Danio rerio: one gene and its partner. The protein of the gene in region 1 purifies or fractionates together with the protein of each later gene. This does not show direct contact. Links are inferred from orthologs where the notes say so. Each region holds a gene or a part of one and is shown on either strand. Other genes may lie near its edges.

Region 1 (3,933 bases):
TTCTAAAAGATATAATACTTTATATTACCTTTATGTCTGATCAGCGTTTTATATTAACAGACAATGCACAGATATTGATGTTTCATAATGTTTTTACACTACATTATTTCAACCTAACAAGCTTATTTTCCTATGTTTACATTGCTCTATCTACATTAAATCTAAATCCCAAATATCAGAAATGACAACAGCTTGTTAAGATTTAATTAATGTCAGTGTTAATGTTACTGATTAATGCTCTTACTTGACAGAATTCATTCATTCATTCATTCATTTTCCTTCGGCTTTGTCCCTGGTTTATCAGGGGTTACCACAGCGGAATGAACCACCACTTACTTGACAGATTTATATATTTTTAATTCTAGGTGTTTTATGTTTGGTAAAATTATTTCCAATTGCATTTTTAGTGATTTTCAACTAACTACACTGTATTGTCTCAAATGGTGGATTTAGGGGTTTTTTACAGTGGCCGGGAAGTGCAAAACAACATTACAAAGTTTGAAACACTTTTACAAAGCTCGAGACAAATTTACATTTTGAAAAACATTTTTACTTATCATTAGACACAATTACATAGGAAAAACAATTTTACAAAGGACGAAACAAATTTACATTTTAGGAAACAAATTAACAAGACGCAAAACACTTTTACAAATCCCGAAACAAATTTACAATTACAGATTCCCTACGGAAAGGGAATGTACCACACCCCGGAAGTGACGTAGAATGTACCACACACCGGTATTGACCCGGAATGTAACACACACTGTGTGACTTTGTAGACAGGTTTCCACAAGTCTACAACTATAAAAATTATGGTTTGACTAACTGCGATAAAATAAATTAGAGCTATTCTGAGAAAATATCAGCGTGAGAGTGCATAAAAACATGGAAATGCAAGTCCATGGAAACATTTAAAGCACAGCACATGTTGACTGATAAAGATACCAAAACCAATCTCAACCTGTACACCGGAGTAGCTCAGTTGGATAAGTCGGTTGATACTCATGTAGAACCTATTGACTTGGGTTCAAATCCAGTTGATGACATGTCAATTATAATAATTTCTTTAGATTAATTTTGGTTTATGCTGTTCTGCCACACAAATATTAAATCAACAATGATACACTGACACCAAGTAATTAGAATCTTTATTCGGTATGGGCATGTTTTGTTGCTGTGAAAAAGTGACCAATCTGCTAATCTGCAAACGTGGATAGTTTGCACATCTGAAAAGGGGCCTCAGTTAACACGGACACCAGTTAAACCATAACACAGGCTTCCTTCAGTTTACCGTTAAGAGTCCTCAAGCAGAGGTTTACACCGTGTAGACTTGACATCATGTTCATAATTACAGCGTACCGAGGGGATCTCGTAAAAATATTAAACACATTGATGCAGCATGTCTGGCGTTTCGGTCTGGTCCGCGTCCTTTATAAACTCTAAACACCGACCACACGCAAAGCAAAACCGTGTTAAGTTGCACAAGTGTTTGCCACAAAACGGGCAAAACAACCCTCGACCGCAGTCCATGTTCGGTCACCATAAACTTTGTTTACGCCATGTACTCCACAGCGCGAATTTACCGCGCACACCAGCAACAACAACAACGTTCCCCCGCGTCACTACCGGTGTGTGGTACATTCTATGTCACTTCGGGGTGTGGTACATTCCCTTTCCGTAGGGAATCTGTAATTGTAAATTTGTTTCGGGATTTGTAAAAGTGTTTTGCGTCATGTTAATTTGTTTTCTAAAATGTACATTTGTTTTGTCCTTGGTAAAATTGTTTTTTTCTATGTAATTGTGTCTGATGATAGGTAAACATGTTTGTCAAAATGTAAATTTGTCTCGAGCTTTGTTAAAGTGTTTCAAACTTTAATGTTGTTTTGCACTTCCCGGCCACCGTATGTTTTGCTAAAAAAGCACTGGTGGATTTAGCTAGTTTTGATGCAAAAGAAAATTGACCTTGCTAAAAAAACTAATTTTGAAATGTTTAAAGTGACATTTTGAAACAAAAAGATATTGCATTTACTAGCTAATAACCCTATCGTTATCAATAAATGAAACTTCTGAACCCAATCAGAAGCCGGGTAGGAAATGTTCATTCACAAAAAAAAAAAAAAAAAAAAGAGGTCTGATGGATTTAGAGCAGGGATCAGCAAACTTGTTCCTGGAGGGCCGGTGTCCTGCAGATTTTACCTCCAACCCTAATCAAACACACCTTAACAAGCTAATCAAGGTCTTACTAGGTATACTTGAAACACCCAGGCAGGTGTGTTGAGGCAAGTTGGAGTTAAACCCTGCAGGCCACCGGACCTCCAGGAACGAGATTGGTGACCCCTTATTTAGAGGGTTTTGCATCTGAACTCTTCAATTGTTTACACATATTTTTGCGTGGTGTGTGTAAACATGATATTAACAGTAGAAGTGACCTTCAATTTAAATGTTACAATGATTTTACAAAATCCATGCCATGACCTCTTTCAGTTAAGTTACTGTAGTCGTGTGCACGCGCGCGCGCTCACCGCTTGCAGATGTCATCGGCGGTCTCTTTAGTGAAAACTCTCTCCTGAAGCACGTTGTTCAAGGCATGGATGGCGCACAGCTCCAGTCTCTGCTTCTCATGAAACACCTCGCCCTCGCTCATGCTCACCCTGCCATCACAAACACATTCAGACCGTCCATTAACATGTAATTACGGCCAAAAACACGTTATGTACTCGCGTTCCCGTAAGCTGACAGCACATGACTGGATACATCATCATCATCATCATCGTAAACATCATCATCTCACCTTCTGGAAGACTGAATCCGCAGTGCAACGATTTATCCACTGATGCTCCTGACACGTACCGCGAAACTGATCTTTACTGGTCCATTAAACATACAATATTAAGCTGTTATTAACGAAATCTGTTGCGGTCTGTGAAAGGGGAACGCCGCCTGTTTCTTGTCCGTGAGGATCAGCCGGAAGTTGTGTTGTTGTCGCGTTGAGGGAACGCCCCGTGCGATCATGCTGCAGTTCACACGGCCGCTCCATAGGGGGACCCTCATTTTACAAAAAAATATAATAAAGAATAATAAACGAATAAATAAAATATAAAATTACATAAAAAATGATCTTGTGTGAAAGTGGAAGCTGCTAAGGATTGGAACTCCATCCCACCAACAATTAGAAGACCACTCACTTTCCGTTCTTTTCAATCTCATGTTAAAAATTGGTTATTGGCAAATCAGCATTGTCAGCATTAGTACTGTATTCTTGACACATTTGTACTGTTGTCTTTGGCTTTTTGTCCTCTTCTGCTGCCATCAGTCTGTTCTTGTCTTTTTTACTTTAACTGTATTTTATATATGAAAGTTTATTTCATGTTTAATGCTGTGCTTCTATTTTAGGTGTGACTTTTTAACATTCCATAAGGGGTCTACACATTCTTGGCTAATTCTGGCACATTTTACAGTAATGTTTATTAATGTGCATTGACCCTGTAAACAAATTAACTAAACTAAACTAAACTAAACTAAACGAAACTTAACTAAATAATCAAATTGCAATGAAGGATACGAATATATAAAAGTCATCCAGGGATCAAAATAAAAACTCAAACCCTTTTTTTCAGTTTTAGACATTACTGTAAACTGTGTGCTAATAAACTGTATAAATGTCAAAAACATTAATGTTTTATTAATATTATTATTAGTTGTAGTAACCACTGCTACTACTACTACTGCTACTACTACTACTACTACTAATAATAATAATAATAATAATAATAATAATAGATTAATATTATATATGTTGGAGCTTTAAAAATCTTTTTTTATGTATATATCTTTGCATATTTTATTCCATATTACAGTGAACAAAACATTTTAAAATAATTGTACAAATGCTATTGAAAACTATTATTATTATTATTATTATTATTATTA
Region 2 (3,833 bases), on another chromosome or scaffold:
AACCAAGGCTCTGTGATCATTAAAAATCCCATGGCATTTTTCGTAAAGAGTGTAACCCTGGTGTCCTGGCCAAGTTCCTTGCATTGGCTCTTACTGGCCTCCCAATCATCCCCATCCACCAAATTGGCTCTATCACTGTCTCTCCATTCCACCTATGGCTGGTAAGTGGGGATTGCACTAGCGTCAATGTCCTGTGGCTGCCGTCGCATCATCCAAGTGGAGGCTGCACACTAGTAGTGTGGTAGAGACCCTCCACCCATGATTGTATTGCGCTTTGGGTGTATGGCCATACACAATAAATGCACTATATAAATACACATTACTTATTTAGTTACTTTTACAATATTACTGGCAACCAAATTGCCAGTGTTATTGCAAATTTTGCATCATTTTTTTACAGTGTTTAGAATGTCCAGTACTTGTCTTGTTTTTGTTTTACACACACACACACACACACACACACACGCACATTTACAAAGTTAAAACAGGCTCGGTTCTTTATGTTTATATATATATATAATATGAACATATTCATAGTAGAAAATATTTGTCAAATTTAGAAACAAATCATCAAAAATGTTGACAGTGGATGGCAACTTTAAAAAAAAAAAAACACTGGTGTGAAAAGAGTTTCAGCAGGTTGTAAGGCTTTTAAAGACATTTTAAAGACCATTATGATTGAGTTTTTTCACTTTTACAGGGCTAAATGCTAAGGAATTTTTTTTTCGAATAAGCCAGTTGGAAAAGATTTTCACTTGCCCTATCAAAAAAATTATTTTAATTTTATACATTAAATCATACATTAATAATAAAAATTACAATTTAAAAATAAAAATAAAGGCCAGGTCAGTATCCTCAGCTGTAAATATAGGGATAACTTTTAAGCAAATTTTATGGTGAGGAAAATAATTAAAAAATAAAAGTAACAAATAAAATGATAAATAAAAAAAAGTTTTATTGAGATTGATTGTTGGTGAACAAACATAAATGAACAAAAGAAAATTAAGACCTGTTAAGACCTACAACACAACATTTCAGTAGATTTAAGACTTTTTAAGGCCTAAAATTTAGTTGCTAAGATTTAGGACATTTTAAGACCCCACAGACACCCTGAGAAGAGTTCAAATGTTACCAAAGTCCACTTATTATGAGCAATGATTATTTGATGTTTTTTTTTTTACTTTATTTATTATTTATTTGTTTAAATGTATGATAATTATGATAATATTTTGACTTGTGGCTTATTATATAATGATTAACTTATAGAATTTAAAATATTTTTTAAGATATTCAAAATATCCTTGTATCCTTCTTTTTTATTATAAATTATTATTTATATATATATATATATATATATATTTTTTTTTTTTTTTTCAGTTTTTGTTTGTGTACTTGATGTTAAGTGTTGGTGTTTATTGTGTTAAAGGTGTCAATCTTGTTATGTGAGGCACCACTATGTCCGAATAAATTGCCCCAAAGGAATTAATAAAGCTTTAAATTATATATTAATCCATTAATTAATACAAATATAACTATTAATTTTCCCAGTGATGGGTTGCGGCTGGAAGGGCATCCGCTGCGTAAAAATGTGCTGAATAAGTTGGCGGTTCATTCCGCTGTGGTGGCCCCAGATAAATAAAGGGACTAAGCCGAAAAGAAAATTAATGAATGAATAAATAACTGTACATTTTTTGTTTATGTTAAAAATAAATGAACATAGCATTTTTTATTTGAATAATGTATTGTTAAATGCTGACAGTGACAATAACAATTAATAAATGGTTTATTATAGTATAATATAATAAAAAATAGAGAAGAAGTCCTGTTTGTCAATCATGTTAACTCACTTAATGTTACCAAAATGCTGTTTTACCCTTCAACCAATTAAAGAAGCAGGAGTTCAGTTCTCTCTTTATGACTAGCAGAGACTCACAACTTGGCAAACATGATTTTTCCCCAGACCACTTAAGAGATCAGTCGTAGCTGTCAAAGGCCCAACCGTTTGACAGCAGCTCAGGGAGGAATCGTTTGTGCTGATAAGAGCTGCATTTAATAGAGGAAATGGATGTGAAAGTGGAAGCTAGCCAACAGCAAGCAGACGTACCCGTGCAGGTGATGACCATGTCCATTTGACGAACCACTTCATTCAGCTTCACCACTCTAAAGCCGTCCATACTATAAAGGAAATAAAAAAACAAATAAAAATTAGCAGATGTGTTTAGATATTGCTGTGCAAAGAAGATTTTGAGTTCCTATTTGGTTTGCTGATATGCTGATATTATTTGTGGTAGATACTAAGAGAGACCAGTTTACACAAGTTATTTGATACAAAATTGTTATGTGTTACAGGGTAAACTGAATAAAGTATATTAACTAATAATTATCACCTTTATCACTGAATCACTGACTCAAATTATTCATTCCTAATTTCATTTAGGAACAAACCCTTGCAATGTTGCTGTGAGACACAAATGTTCGCTTCAGATTTGTTTGAGACTGTGTCTGAAATGTAACTCATGCAGTATTACTGTCTTGTTTGTTAAACTGTTGTATAAAACAAGAACATATTTGCAACTAACTAATAACTAGTAACTAATAACCTTAACTTTACCGAATTAGATTGTAATGGAATAATGTGCACCTTTTGTAAAGCTGCTTTGAAACAATAATTATTCTGAAAAGCACCATACAAATAAACTAGAATTGAATTGAATTGACTTGGAGTTGTTTCGAATACAAAGAGAAAATAATAGGCTATAGATTATTAGATTAGATTAACTGTTTAAACAAAGTATTTAAAATGTGTACACATAATTATGATTGCATTAATTAGTAATAAAGGCAAATGACACTATTGAGCTTGCCATCTGCATTTTTTAATTATTTAAAATTGTGTACCTTTTGTATTTAATTATTAATTAAAATAAATTATATTGGCTAAATATCAGCCACCCTGCTTTCCAATATTGACCTTCAGAAAAAAAAATATCGCATGACTACTAATTTCAATAACACCGCACTTGTGTTTAAATGTAGATTTCACTCATTCTTGAGGGTCTATTGGTCTTACCAGGCTTGAAGAGCACAGATCGGATCGATCTCCGTCACACACACTATTGCTCCAAGTGCTTTCAGAGCTGAACAACAACCTTTCCCCACCTATACCACGGTCAACACAGAAACACAGCCAAACACAGAAACGTCATTCCATTCTCTGTGCTTTTAGAAAATAATGTCTGTCTGTTTTGAGAAATTACAGCTACAGTACAGACACTACAGGTTTTTTTTTTGTCTAATTTAAAGAAAACACTCAAAATATGTGATTAAAATTTTTTTTATCACACTTAAAAATGTGTCTGTGGATGTCAATTACAATATATTTCCGTAAAGACTTTTTCTCAGAATTATTTTATTCTCCTCCACTGAGCCATCAATCTCAACTTCAGCGCAATTTGCAGTACACACAACAAACTTCACAATTGTAATCATCTGTATCCAGTACTCCAAATGTTTTTACAGATGGATATGTTTATACATAAACTACCTGATTATTAGAACATTTTATTCTACAAGATAAAAATCCATTAGTTACTGACAGTTGTACCATTAACTAGCATGGACTAAAATATTTTTTGCATTTTTTAAAATCTGATTGTTATAACCTTTCATTCGACAAAGACATGAGTGAAAGGATTGATAGAGAAAGATTACTAAAATCCTATAACCTTAGACTCTCATTTGTCAAAAACATTAAACCTGAGTTTTGAACTGGACATCATTTAATGTTAAAAATTTAAGCTAGAAATGTATGCATATATGGACACATTTATTTA

The links.
Region 2: the proteins of josd2 (region 1) and ahcyl1 purify together in Homo sapiens (affinity purification with mass spectrometry; 4 studies listed by BioGRID and IntAct, counting the BioPlex papers as one, with this or other methods). This does not show direct contact. The link is inferred for Danio rerio from reciprocal best matches to the Homo sapiens genes JOSD2 and AHCYL1.

The regions. Positions count from the first base shown.
Region 1 is NC_133191.1:14,041,480-14,045,412, reverse strand, and holds the start of josd2 (josephin-2), read right to left. Parts: upstream 2,977-3,933; 5' UTR 2,795-2,976; intron 2,655-2,794; 5' UTR 2,648-2,654; coding exon 2,526-2,647; intron 1-2,525. UniProt on the Homo sapiens protein: Cleaves 'Lys-63'-linked poly-ubiquitin chains, and with lesser efficiency 'Lys-48'-linked poly-ubiquitin chains (in vitro). May act as a deubiquitinating enzyme.
Region 2 is NC_133183.1:26,876,698-26,880,530, forward strand, and holds part of ahcyl1 (S-adenosylhomocysteine hydrolase-like protein 1), read right to left. Parts: intron 3,160-3,833; coding exon 3,071-3,159; intron 2,176-3,070; coding exon 2,105-2,175; intron 1-2,104. UniProt on the Homo sapiens protein: Multifaceted cellular regulator which coordinates several essential cellular functions including regulation of epithelial HCO3(-) and fluid secretion, mRNA processing and DNA replication.